Linked DNA regions of Oryza sativa Japonica Group. The protein of the gene in region 3 binds, or shares a complex with, the protein of the main gene of each other region. Links are inferred from orthologs where the notes say so. Each region holds a gene or a part of one and is shown on either strand. Other genes may lie near its edges.

Region 1 (4,010 bases), on a different chromosome or scaffold from region 3:
TGATGCTTCACTTTGAAAAACTGAAGCATTTCTATAGCGCATTTCTATGTTTACCTTCAGATATAAACACTGAGGCGTCTCAGAGTTAGGCAAGACACATATTCACATTATGGCTTATGAGGACTGTAAAAAAAGATTATAAATTCCAGTGACAAAAGCACTTAATCGGGCTAGAATTGAAGATATTTTTACTTCAAACTGACAACTTGAGATCACTTGCAAAAGAACAATAAGGAGCGAGTTTGCAACTCTGAGGCCAATACTGGAAATAAACGCACTCTACTTGCAACTCATGAGCTTAATTAGGATTGTACAACAGGTTTTTTTTTCCAATGCAAGTTGGAAACAGCTGACTACAATGAAGTTGCAGGTTGCAGTGTTAAAACTATGAGTAATCGTACAGGGTGATGCTCTTGTCATCTGACACGCTGGCAAGCCGGCCTGCGCGGACTCCTGTCCCACCCGGTGGTCGGAAGGCGACAGCCCAGACCTGATCATTGTGGTTGCTCATCGTCTGCACCGACGCCCTCGTGTTGATGTCCCAAAGCCGGACCGTGCGGTCACTGGAGCCTGTCGCTACCGCCATGCCGTCTGGGCTCACGTCGATGCTCAGCACCCAGCTCGCATGCCCTGACATGGCCCCAATGAGGCTCTTCTCCTTGGCGTCGTATATGTGGATGTGGCAATCGTCGGAGGCAGTGAAGAGCACGTGCGGGTCCACTGGAGAGAACACCATTGATCTCACTGGCATGTGATGGCCCTCAAGGTGGTGGAGGAACTTCATGCGAACTGCGTCATACACAGCGATGGTGCCATCCATGGAACCACAAGCTAAGAGCTTGCCATCAGGACTCCATGCAACTGAAAGGACAAACTTGCCGCTTCCTGTTTTATCAGGGCGAGCTCCCTCTGGACGCGGAACAGCAAGGCTGGTAATTGGCTTCCACTTCTCTGTGTCCCAGAGCTTCACTGATCCACTGCCACCACCAGCTGCAGCCAGAGCACTACCCTGTGAAGGAAAGCATTTGTGGGTGAGGTAATAATGTCAGTAGCTAGAACAAGTGAAGACCTTCAGTAAAGTGAGGCTACCATAAAAGGAGGTTAATTCCTGGTACTGCAGGTTTTAGAAAAATTAGTATATGCTGTCAACAAAGGTATATAGAGATAGCACAGTGGAAAACGCTGAATGCGTAACACGTCTCAACTGCAAGTGAGAAGACAAGCTTGAACAAGCATCTCCGATTCTCATTGAATTAGACATAATTGTATCAACACGTTTATGGAAGAAAATAAATAATGTCTTAAGGCCATAGGTCAATTCTAGCAAGGTTTAGTACATACCAAAATATCATTTAAGAAAAATAGTATGTTCTGGAAATTAGCAAGATGAATCACAACAAGGCAATATGAAAATGAATTGACCACAGATACGCTACTTTGACAAACCATTTCTGGCAGTGATTGCAATGGGCGTAGTGATGTTTAGTCATCTTGCACAGAAAGGTGGGTTACCCAAATAGATAATTATCTGGCATATTGTGAAAAACATGAATACAAATCAATTTTTAAAATACAAAGGAAGCATGAAAACAGGACCTATGCAAAACCTGTAACTATGATAAAAATATGTCCAATGAGTTTGGATACACAATTAATTGTCGCTTAATTTACTGAGTCTGAAAGAGAATCGAAAAGGTAGGATTCAACATTATTCTCAGAGTCTAAGCGACTATGCAGTAAATGTTGCACACACTTTGCCAGCAATGCATGAAACACCATACTTCACATGATGATCCTCTTCAAAGCGATTACTAAATTTGTTGCAGTGTTGAGATGAAGGAGCGCTATTCCACAAAAGTGAGGTACTGTGGTCAATGATAATAAGCAGTAACAACTGAATATACTGTCAGACTTGCCCACCGAATTTAACAACCAAACCTCAGTCATCAATTGCGTATTTGAACTGCTCGAAAATTGAAATGATCACTTTGCATATATTCCTTAACTTTGCGAAAACATTCTTTTAGATTCCTTTATTTTCTTTAAATCTAATAAAACTACCACAAAGTGCCAATCAAGGCCACACTTTTGTCATGAAGTTTCAGTTAAAATGATACTAAAATCTACTAAAACATCTGAGAAAAGATCACACATTACACTAGGTAAAAAAAACCACACTAGACATATTCCAAACTATACAAACCCATACAACAGATGGAAATGATGCTCGAATCAACTGTAATTACCACATTATCACACTGAAATCCCACGCCTCTCACATCTCCCCCACACAACGAATCTAGTCAAGCAACCTCAGAATGTGAATCGCAAAGCAAAGATGGTGGGGTGGGGGGTAGGATCATCACCTACCTTGGGGTGGAACTGGATGCCCCAGACCTCGGAGGGAGGGGCCTCGAGCGTGGCGACGGAGGAGCCCGAGTCCACATCGAAGACGCGGACGTAGCTGTCGAGGGAGACGGCGGCGGCGACGGCGCCCGCGGGGTGGGCGGCGAGCGACACCACCCCGAGCGCGTGGCCCCGCGAGGGGGAGGCGGCGGCGGAGGCGAGGTCGTCGGGGGCCCAGAGGCGGACGGTCTCGTCGAGGGCGCCCGTCAGGAGCAGCGCCGCGGGGCGGTGGTCCGCCGCGGGCACCCACGCCGCCGCCCAGATGGACTCCTCGTGGGCCCCGTCCACCGACTTGAGCCCCGCGAGCTTCATCTCTGCTGCTGCTCTGCTCGAGGAGGAAGACGAAGTCGAAGTCGAGGAAACCCTAGCGTTTGATCTGGTTGGGGAGGGGAGTGAGAGAGACGAGGGGTTCGTGGGTTTTAGAGAGGAGGAAGACGATACGAGTACTAGTAAATTTCCTTTTTTTTTCTTTTCTTTTCAGATGATTTTAAAATAAAAAAATAGAAAAAAAAATGCACGTCTGTTGCAACATGTGAAGTCTAGTTTAATCTTATTATTGTTATGCGGTTTAGTTAAAAGTGAAATTAGCTGTGAGAATTCACGTGGATGTATATTCTTTTAAGAAAATCAGAAGTCGCAGTTAGGAGTCCGATCATTTTAAGTTAGCATAAGAGCTTTTCTAAAGAGATTTCTTATACGACTTCTACAGTATTTTAAAACTAATGAATAAATTAATAAATAACGGCAAAACATCTAATTTTTATAATTGTAAAGAAGAGAATTGGGCATTGAGGAGTAATTGGGCCTGCATTTTTACTGGGCCTTTCAGGATAGGCTGAACTGGGCTGATTTGGCATGCCCATTTGATAAAAGTAAATGCCCATACTATCATTTCCCCCTCGAATAACAAGTCCATCTTCATATATTACTGTTTTGTTTTTTAAGTCAAACCTATTTAGGTTTCATCAAGTTTATAGAAAAATTAATAATAATATCTATAATACCAGATTAGTTTTGTTAAACCTAACTTTTAATATATTATGGTCGTGTGTTTGTTTTGGGTAAAAAAATGTTACTATATATTTGGGTTAAAAGTTTGATTAGGAAAAGATCAAAGGGTCTTTTATATAAAACGAAGAAAGTAGTAGAAATGCATGCTTGTTTTGTTCTCACTTTTGAGCCCTATCAAAATTTGACATTACCAAACATATTAGACGTGTTCGGTTGTGTTTGCTGCCTATGGATGCGAGCCTGCGATAGCATTGGAAACGACTGTAGACAACAGCGGCCAGCGTATCCTGTCAGCCCCATTGTTACTACCGCTACCCAATCAAATTTAAGTGGTTTCAGAAAATTGCGTTCTTAAAAGCTATACCAAAATAAATTTGGTAAGGTTTCAAACCAAATGCATTCAAGACTATCAGAATTTGCAAACCAAATGCAAACCAAAAGTGTTAAATTTTGGTAGGGTTAGTTGAACAGCAAACCAAACATGTCATAGATTCCATTTTTGAATGAAAAGAAAATGAATTGCAAGATTAAACTCCCATTCCAGGGAGAACAAGTTCAAATCCAAGGAAAAGGTATAAATATATCACGTGGAA
Region 2 (4,543 bases), on a different chromosome or scaffold from region 3:
TTTGTGTCTAATTTGGAGTGCCTAGACAAATATGCGTTGTTCTTTATTAGCTTTTTGTACTGAAGGTTTAATTAAGCCTTTTTTGTGTATGCCTTTCGTGAGTAGACCAGCCTATGAAGCTTCCTGAGATGCAATGCAGCAGATGCTCAGCTTTATCTTACACAAGATTTTATTATTCAACACAAGCTTTGCCTTCTTCCAGTAGAAATTTTGCTATAGTATCACGGCCATTGCTATTCTTTTTTACATTTTGTAGTATAGAAATAAGAATCTGATAATCAACATTGATATAATGATTTAGACCGAACTAATTAAGGAACATTAGGAACTTTCATAACTTGACACATGTTTTTTTTTTCCTTTTGGCATATAAGTATACAACATAGAATATTTGTACCTCTTAGTCTAGTCTCCCAATATCCGCTGCATAAATGTTTTATGCAGAGCAACAAGGGTAACAAACTAAATAACAGAAGGACTCACTCCACAAATATTAATGCGGAAATTGTCATCAACACAATTCAGGCATACAGGTCCTGTTTATGAAAAGAAAATGTGTAACCTTGCTTGTCTCATCATGTTACATACACTCAAGGCTAAAATGCAAATTGATCTGGACAAGTAGTCACAATGGCATGGTGCCGATCAGCTGATGAACTTTGTGGCCAAAGAGGCAGATGAATCCATCGAACAGCAGGCAGAGGCACAGATAACTTGAGAAGTTCAGAGTAAACCCCGTCTTCTTTTGTAGTCACTGACGGTCAGAGTTAGAGCATGCCTCCTTCCATCATTGTCAGGGACCTTGTAACCCATGGTTGCTTCAATCTTCTGCTTCCTCGCCATGTAACCATCGAAGAGACCCTTGGGACCGCCGAATTCTTCCAGGCCGGCCAATGATATACCGAGCTCAAAATTATGCAGCAAATTCGATTCCGTTCCCAGATCTACAGGTGCATTGGTATCAACCAGCTTACCGGCATCAGCAGCTGCCACTAGAGCCGCTGCAGTGGCTGCTGAACCACCTCGCGGCCCGTTCTTCGTATCTTCATCGCCAGCTACTGCGCTGCCATCGTTCCCGTTGGGGACTTCAGCGCTCTCTCCTTCAGGCTTTGCTGCGTAGTAATTTCTTGATCTTGTCCATCTCCTTGAAAAGGGATCATAACCAGCCTCTCCAACCTTCAAACTCGTGTTAACGGGCTTCATTTCTGATGCGTTCTTGAAGTTCTCAGCACGGTTCTTCTTGTTCATCGCCTCCAACTTGGCAGCCTTCTCATTATTTGATATTGGCTTCGACATCTTCTGCAGCTGATTGAGCTTTGAACGGATCCTTTCTGCTTCAGCTTCATCCCTCCTGGCAATGGCCATATCCAACTCATTCCTCAACCGATCCTTCTCAGCAGCAACATTGATAGGACGTCTGATAGCTGATTTCTTCTCTTTTAGCATCTTCTGTACAGTATGTGCTGAATACACAAAGTTGTAGGCCTGTTGAATGGCTTCTTTCTTCTCCAATACATCCTGCCGAGTCGGTACTCGCACACCATTCTTCTCAGCCACTTGTAGCCACTTCTTGAACTCCTCTTCACTGGGAAAGGAGTCTGATACTTGAGTCATCTGCCACCGAGCAGCATTAGCCTCATTGTCCCACACAACATTGAGGTACTTGCACGTCGTGTAGCCCTCCAACTTGTACTTCCGGTCAGGGTCATTCGCATCCACGTTTCTAACTATGCATAGCCTGTAATCAGGGGTCCCTGATTTTGACTTGCCAATCCCAAGCCGCACAAAGCACCCAGACACAAGGTCCTCAAAGAACGGCTCCATGAACCATTTCACAAGCTTTGATCTCCTGAGGGTTATACTCTTCACATCGTCAAACTTCAGAGGGTCAAGCCTGCTTGGCGATTCATCAAACTCATCATCCCGGGTTTCATCGGTGATCCTCCCCCTGTTATCACCATCATTACTACCGTCGCTGGGCGGGCTTCCGGCCCTGCGCCTCGGCGGAGAGCCGCTCTGCGGGATCAAATCCTTGAACCTGTTACGGTACCCCTCCGGGTCCTGCTGCCTCATCCGCTTGGCCCGCAGCTCGTCCAGCGCGCTCTTGGCGGCGGACCTGTCGGTCCTGGCCGACGACCGCGCGCGGCTCGGCGGCGGCGGAGGGCTGCTGTCCCTCCGCGACTTGTCCGCCTTGGACGACGACGACGACGCCCTCGCCAGCTGCTTCAGCTTGTAGTCGTCGATCCGCGCGCCGCGCTCCGCCAGGATCATCTCCCTGTCCAGCTCCGACATCTTCTCCAGCTGCTCCTTGTCGTCCTCGTCCTTGTACAGGTCGCTCCCGACCGACGGCGCGCTGTCTGAGTCATCGCCGCTGCGCCTCCCCTCGTCGAGCTCGTCGTCGTCGTCGTCGTCGTCATCGTCGTCGCCCTCCTTCCACCCACCACCACCACCACCTCTCCCTCCGCCCTTCTCCGGCTGGTGCCGCTTCTTGAGCGGCACCTGCGACCCCGACGGCGGCCGCTTCCTCGAGAGGGTCGGCGCGGCGTCGGAGTCGTCGGAGTCGCCCCCGTCGCCGCCGCCGCCGCCGTCGTCGTCCGAGCCGCTCCCGCCGGAGTACGACGACCCGCGCCTCCCCCGCTGCTGCTGCTGCGACGACCACCGCTGGCCCTGGCCCGACGACGGCCCCCGTGCCCCGCCGCCCTTCCCCGCCCCCGTCGTCCGCCCCGCCGCCTGCAGCAGCAGATCCTCGAGGTTGTTGTTGTCCGGCATGGCCGATCAAACAGCAACTCTCCTGCACAATTCCACAAACCAAAATCCATCAACCATCGAATCAAGAAACGCGAGCCTATCCGGGATCTGGGACAGCGGAGGGGAGAGAGAGAGAGAGGGAGGGGGGGGGGGGGAAGGCGAGACTCACCTCGAGACAGCAGCAAGAACAGAGTCGGCGAACGCCGGTGGGGGGCGAGAAGGATGGTGGCTAGGCCTGCTCGGTCGCTGGCTCGCCGGGATCGATGGCTGGAGGCGGCGGAGACGGCGGCGGAGGAGGGGAGGAGGAGAGTGCGCTGGCCCTAGATGGGGAAGTTGGGTTGTGAGGAGATTCGGTTGGAGTTATGGGCTTTTTTGTGGGGCTTTACTCTTGGGCCCTTGGGCCGGGAGAGCCCAATGAATCACATTGTAAAATGAGATTTGTGTTTTTTTTAATAAAGAAGAAGAAGAAGAAGAATGTTGTCACATTACTATCTCAGTATGGTTCAGTTTGGGGAGCGTTTGGGGAGCTTATAACGGTTGCAGTTTCTCCTAAAAAATCAAACTCCCTAGCTGTAGATCCCCAAACAGCCTAGATTTTATTCCCGATTCTAAGAATTTGTAACTATAGAATCCAGAAAATAACCAACTGCTTAATCCTAAACTCCGTCAAACAGGTTCTTTCTATGTCTTAGATTTTCATAAGTTGTATTCTAATTTGAAAAGGTTATGCATTGTATTAGTAACTAGTCAAATTTGAAATACTTGTTGAAATTATAATGCATAGATTCAAATTTTGTCATCACAAAGGCCCCGTTCTTTCCTGAGTAATATTCAGATTCTAACTTAGTTTCAATTAGCACGATTTTCAAACTGCTAAGTTGTTCTAATATATTAAATAAATCTATTTAAAATTTGCAATAATTAAAACTCAATTAATCATAAGCTGATGTTTTTTTTTTTGTTTTCTGTGTCCTTAATCTACGTTTTCCCACGTTGCCAACCCCACCAAAATGTTGGTTTCAGTGATACTATTTCATAAAATAGTGATTGTTAGTTTATGTTTTAGTATTACCGTATTGCATACGGTAACTTTTAGTGCAATATTAGTTTGTGTGGTCGTTAAGGGACTTCAACAAAGGATGCAATCTGCATTCAACCAGAGTGAAAGAGAATGTACATTGGAACTATTCTAGTTATTTCAGATATAGATCAACAAACAAAGTACAAAATAAACTATTATGGATACAAGGTTTAAGTATGAAAAATATTGAATTCAGTCCTAAAAGTTGGTTTCATCCACTAGACCACTAGTGCAGGGCTCATTGAATCCTCCTATAATTCCACCATGCACTAGCAATTGCAGGCTAACCTAAGTATACCTAACTAATCTTGTGATTTCTTCTGAAGCTGTGCTTAGCAACTGACTACTCTACAATTCAATAGCTATAAACTGAAAATTTTATTTACAACGAATATTAAACATGGCCATATTACAATGCCGTGGAGCAAACAGCTTCAGTCACAGCAAGCAAAAAATATTATCAGGGCCTACGCTTTTCTCAATATGAAAACATGAGCGACCAAGAAACCTCAACGCTCATCCGGCAAAACCCAACATCAAGTGTGTCACGACTCCATCCACATCTTACCGGGATAAACTTTTTGGAAGCACAGCTGATGTTCTCATCACCACTTTGCCTTGCATGAACATCAACAATCAACGCTCCGCCATTTCCTTCAACTGCAACTACACTGCGGCAGAAATGAATGGCTCCATCATGGGAGAAAGCCACCA
Region 3 (4,621 bases):
CTGTAACTAAATCTACAGAAGGATGGTTGGCATTACCATTTTTGCTGCATCGGTGCTAAGTGGCGAAATATATTGTGTTTTGACCAGCCAAGACATACCCTTGTCGGTGGGCCTCTCTTTTTTCCTTATACCATCTTTTTTAACAGGGGTGAGAACCTCATCATCACGCAATAGCTCTTCATCTTCTGGAGCCATGGGTGGCTGAACAGGAGGAGTACTAAAAATAGTTTGTGCATAAGTTAGGTATGCTAAAAAGAATCTTCTTATAAGGATAGCAGCTAAGAATACATATATCTGGCTCAATTCATACTTATATACGCTCATATCAAGTAGGTCAAGAGGTATTCCGAGATCCTCGGGGACAATCATTTTGGGTATGTAGTTCTTCTCCAATGAAGTGATTCTGTATTTGGTATATCTGCAAAGAGGTAGCGGATAGCAAAACAAAGAGTGAACACAGACATCCTAAAATAATATTAAGAGCACCATGCACGGCGAAGAACAGTAGAGAGAAACAGAAAAATTCAACACAGACTAATGTTCTGGATAGCGGAATAAAAGTGAAAAGCAGAGGAGGCTATGCAAATTGAAAAAAAAAAATCAAAAGCAAATGGCACAGGACCTCTGTGTAGGTGTAACAAAGGTGCACTGGCAAGCTCTCATACACAATGAAGTAGCTAGTGATAATGACTGTTTTTCTAAGAAACAGTGTGCTTCAGGAACCATACATAAACCAGAATGTGGCAATCATTTCCTGTCAAGAGAATTACACAACTACCAGAAATATTCTAACTTAATTTATCCTTCAAGCCATGAAAAACATGGCTGCTGCATAACGCTCCAATACCACCACTTGACCTACTTCATCAAGGATCATGAAGTGATTTTTTGTGAAGATAAATTCTTCACAAAGATCTAATCGTCAGCATTCACAAAATGACATGGTAAATTAAAGGAACATGGAATAATTCAATTTTCTGCTCGGTCTACTACACCTAAATTCAAGCTGCCCAAATGACCGAAAATTTGGGAGAGTACTCTCTAACAACAAATGAAGGGCACTTAGTGGCAACACACAAAGAAAGGACTTACGCTCTATGATCAGTAAATGACCAACCTCAGTTGTCTTGACACAAAGTTATCTTCAAATCGGAAGATGATAAAGCTAGATAAACAACATTGAAATGGCTTGTACTGTAACAGGTGCATTGCTAATCACCACTACAACAAGCAACAATAGAAATCAATCCGAGAAAAAGGAGAGTAGACAAGTAGTTCTTTATACCGGTCCTTATCCTTGTTCAGTGGCAACCATTTTAGCTGAGAGCTTGGATCTGGCAGCTCATTCCTAAACCTGCACCAATCCATAACAAAAGATTCATCAAAGAGTTCCATTCTGAAATAGAGACATAATCGCAATATTACATTCCATGCACATCAGTTGCTCTGGAAAGTATCTAAATTTGGGAAAATGCCAATCACATCACTACAGCAATACTTTCACCTATATTTTTTTCACAGCGCAAAAGGGCTCCTCTTTTAATTTTATAAAAAGAAATAACTAAAGACAAGCATAACCCATCAACCTCTTAAGAACTATGAACTGTATTCTAAGTGACTATCTCGAATTAAGCATAAAGAACTAAAAGTAAAAAATAAAAATACAATAAAATGGTTGATTTGCATCTCAATGCCACTACACCATATGTTGCCTTGGAACATCTAATAGGCAGCTGCGGCTTGTCACTAGTCCAGCATCACAGCATTTAGCAACCGCGCAGGTTGCTCTTAAGGCATAAACCAACCAAAATACTACCAAACTGTATCTAAGAATAACTTTAAGTTTGATCAAAACACACACTTCACTTGTAAGACCAAAAGTGTTAGCTAAGAATTACTACAGTTTTGCCGAAAACATAAACTTCTACGACCTAATACACTCTCTTTTCTCCAATAGCTACTCTGATAATCACAGAATACAAAACTTTGTGCCACTCACTTGTGTTTGCAGAGGAAGGTCGTCGGCTTCTTGAGGCGATTCTCAAATCTCTCGGCGTTGGGAGCTGCGGCGGGGCGAGTCGCGGTCACCGCTGGCCGGGACCCACCCGATGGCTGCTGATGGTGGCGGCTCTGCGGCTGCTGGGCGGCGCGCACCTGCTGCGTCTTCTGCAGAACCGTGGCCTGTGACTGCCGCATCATCTGCTGGTTCTTCCGATCCTCGGCCCGCTGCTTCTCGTACTCTCGCTTCTTCCGAGCACGCCGCTCCTCCTCCGTCTCCGCCCTTGGCAGCGCCGACTTGCTCTGCTGCTCCCTCGGTGGAGGCGGAGCAAGCTGGGCCTCCCTAGGAGGCGGCTGCGTGGGAGGAGGTGGAGGCGGGGGTGGCGCCGAAGGTGGAGGAGACGGCGGCGGCGGGGGCGGAGGAGGCGGCTGGCTGCTGTTCACGCCGTACGGCGGCGGCGGCGGCGGCGGCTGGTAGTACATCTGCGGCGGCGGAGGCGGCTGCTGTTGCTGCGGGGGACCAGGGCCGAAGTTGAACTGCGGCTGGTGCGGCGGTGGCGGGCCCGGTGGCGGCGGCGGCGGCGGGGCCAGGAACGGCGGCGGCGCCCCCTGCGGCGGAGGCATGTGGCCGTACGCCGGCTGCTGCGGCGGCGGCGGCCCGTACGGGTTCATCGGCGGCGGCTGCGGCGGGAACCCACCCTGCGGCGGCGGCGGGTGCGGCGCGTACGGCCGGTACGACGCCATCCTAGGGTTTCCCCAAACCCTAACCCCAGCGCCGCAGCAGCAGCAGCAGCAACCCCGCGCCCGCGGCGGCTACCTCTCCCACCACCTCGTCGTCGTCGGAAGCTTCTAGAAGGGTCCAGAAGCAGCAGGGACCCACCAGATCTACGCGAGGGGGATCGCGATGCAGAGGAGGAGAGGAAGCTCGCGAGGTGTTCGACGAATCGACGAGGCGAAAGCGGGGGCGGAGAAATTCGGCGCAGGTGCGCGACGCGAGAGCAAAGCCACGCCACGGGGGATTTCGAACACGGGGTGTTTTCCCCTTTTTTGGGTTTGAATTCGGCGGAATTTTGGTTGGATTTGGAATTGACTTGCATTTAACTTTAGTTTTGTACTTTCAGCCCCTTTCATCGTTAGATGATGAGACTATTAAAGGGATGTAAATAATGTTAGTGGCACACGCGTGATATATTCTCAGTTGCGATTGGTTAATGGTTATGCCACATGTTACTTCTAAATATAAACATGATAATAAATAATATGGTCACTTTTTCTTTAATGGAATCTAATTAATCGGAATTAATGCTCTCACCTTCGATGAATGCTTGTCGGTTTTAACCGAAAGTGGATGGGTTTTGATTTTCGACAATCAATTTTTAAGTAACATCAAAGCAAATTGATCTTATTAAGATACTAGAAATATGCCTTTGATTATAGATCTTATTGCACAACTTTGGCACTAAATAACTATCTTATCAAAAATATGTTTGGTGAAGAAAAGCGTATTTTGGTTGCCGTGTGTCTATTTAATCAACGCGTAGCCATCCAGGTATATGTGGGCTCCTACTATCATCTAGGAGTTATGAGGTATGTATACGTCGATTATCACGTATTCTTTGTATACCGTGAACTCTATATAACCACAAGCAATACAAATTGATTCGGTGCATACCAAGAATCACAAAATATTAACGAGCTTAAGGCGCAACTGATGCACATACTCGAGCAAGTGGCAAACAAAATAGGCGAGGGGAGCTATCCTAACATATTTCATAATCGCCATGATTTTTGTAGTTGTTTTCTTTCATCATGCGATGCATTTTTTTTTTGCTTACCCTTATTTTTTTAGTATGTATGCACCTATTACGGTAACACGTGTATTTCTTCCAATCTTAGCATATCATATTGGACAATATTTTTTCTTTATTAGTATCTGCAAACAAACCATGTATTGTACCTCTTGGGTATGAGTTCATTGTGAGAGAAGTCACCTACAAAGTGGGGCAATAACAACGACGAAATATATGACCCGTCATTTAGATAATGCAGGTTATCAAGTTGTTGTTGAAGTTTGTCTTTCTACAACTACACCAAGTTCAGACGTAGCAATTGTGAGTGCGACATCCGTTATCAGTAACGCATTACTTGGCGAACAAGAAGATGCAATAGGTAGGTTAGTCAAGATGCTTAGGGTCGTGAGGAATCAAATCGTTCCTAGAAAAGAAGTAAAAAAAACACTTGATATAGTGAGATTTCGAACACGGGGTGTTTTCCCTTTTTCGGTTTGAATTTGGAAGAATTTTGGTTGGATTTGGAACTGATTTGCATTTAAACTGTGATTTGCATTTAAACTTCAGTTTTGCACTTCAGCCCCTTTCATCGTTTGATGATGAGACTACTGAAAGGATGTAAATAATGTTAGTGGCACACACATGGTATATTCAGTTGCGATTGGTTAATGGTTATGCCACGTGTTACTTCTAAATATAAACATGATAATAAACAGTATGGTCACCTTTTCTTAATAGAATCTAATTAATCGGATTAATGTTTTCTCTTTCAATGAATTCTTGTCAGTTTTAACCGGAAGTGGATGGGTTTTTAACTTTGGACAATCAACTTT

The links.
Region 1: protein PAF1 homolog (region 3) and WD repeat-containing protein VIP3 share a complex: the UniProt entries of both Arabidopsis thaliana proteins name them as parts of the nuclear PAF1 complex. The link is inferred for Oryza sativa Japonica Group from reciprocal best matches to the Arabidopsis thaliana genes ELF7 and VIP3.
Region 2: protein PAF1 homolog (region 3) and protein RTF1 homolog share a complex: the UniProt entries of both Arabidopsis thaliana proteins name them as parts of the nuclear PAF1 complex. The link is inferred for Oryza sativa Japonica Group from reciprocal best matches to the Arabidopsis thaliana genes ELF7 and VIP5.

What each region holds. Positions count from the first base shown.
Region 1 is NC_089045.1:28,461,606-28,465,615, reverse strand, and holds WD repeat-containing protein VIP3, read right to left. Parts: upstream 2,801-4,010; 5' UTR 2,719-2,800; coding exon 2,371-2,718; intron 1,010-2,370; coding exon 386-1,009; 3' UTR 169-385; downstream 1-168. UniProt on the Arabidopsis thaliana protein: Component of the PAF1 complex (PAF1C) which is involved in histone modifications such as methylation on histone H3 'Lys-4' (H3K4me3). Involved in regulation of flowering time. Required for the expression of the flowering repressor and MADS box gene FLC.
Region 2 is NC_089046.1:21,992,865-21,997,407, reverse strand, and holds protein RTF1 homolog, read right to left. Parts: upstream 3,091-4,543; 5' UTR 2,918-3,090; intron 2,792-2,917; 5' UTR 2,770-2,791; coding exon 724-2,769; 3' UTR 330-723; downstream 1-329. UniProt on the Arabidopsis thaliana protein: Component of the PAF1 complex (PAF1C) which is involved in histone modifications such as methylation on histone H3 'Lys-4' (H3K4me3). Involved in regulation of flowering time.
Region 3 is NC_089042.1:3,362,556-3,367,176, forward strand, and holds the start of protein PAF1 homolog, read right to left. Parts: upstream 3,012-4,621; 5' UTR 2,743-3,011; coding exon 2,000-2,742; intron 1,355-1,999; coding exon 1,286-1,354; intron 419-1,285; coding exon 311-418; intron 218-310; coding exon 37-217; intron 1-36. UniProt on the Arabidopsis thaliana protein: Component of the PAF1 complex (PAF1C) which is involved in histone modifications such as methylation on histone H3 'Lys-4' (H3K4me3). Involved in regulation of flowering time.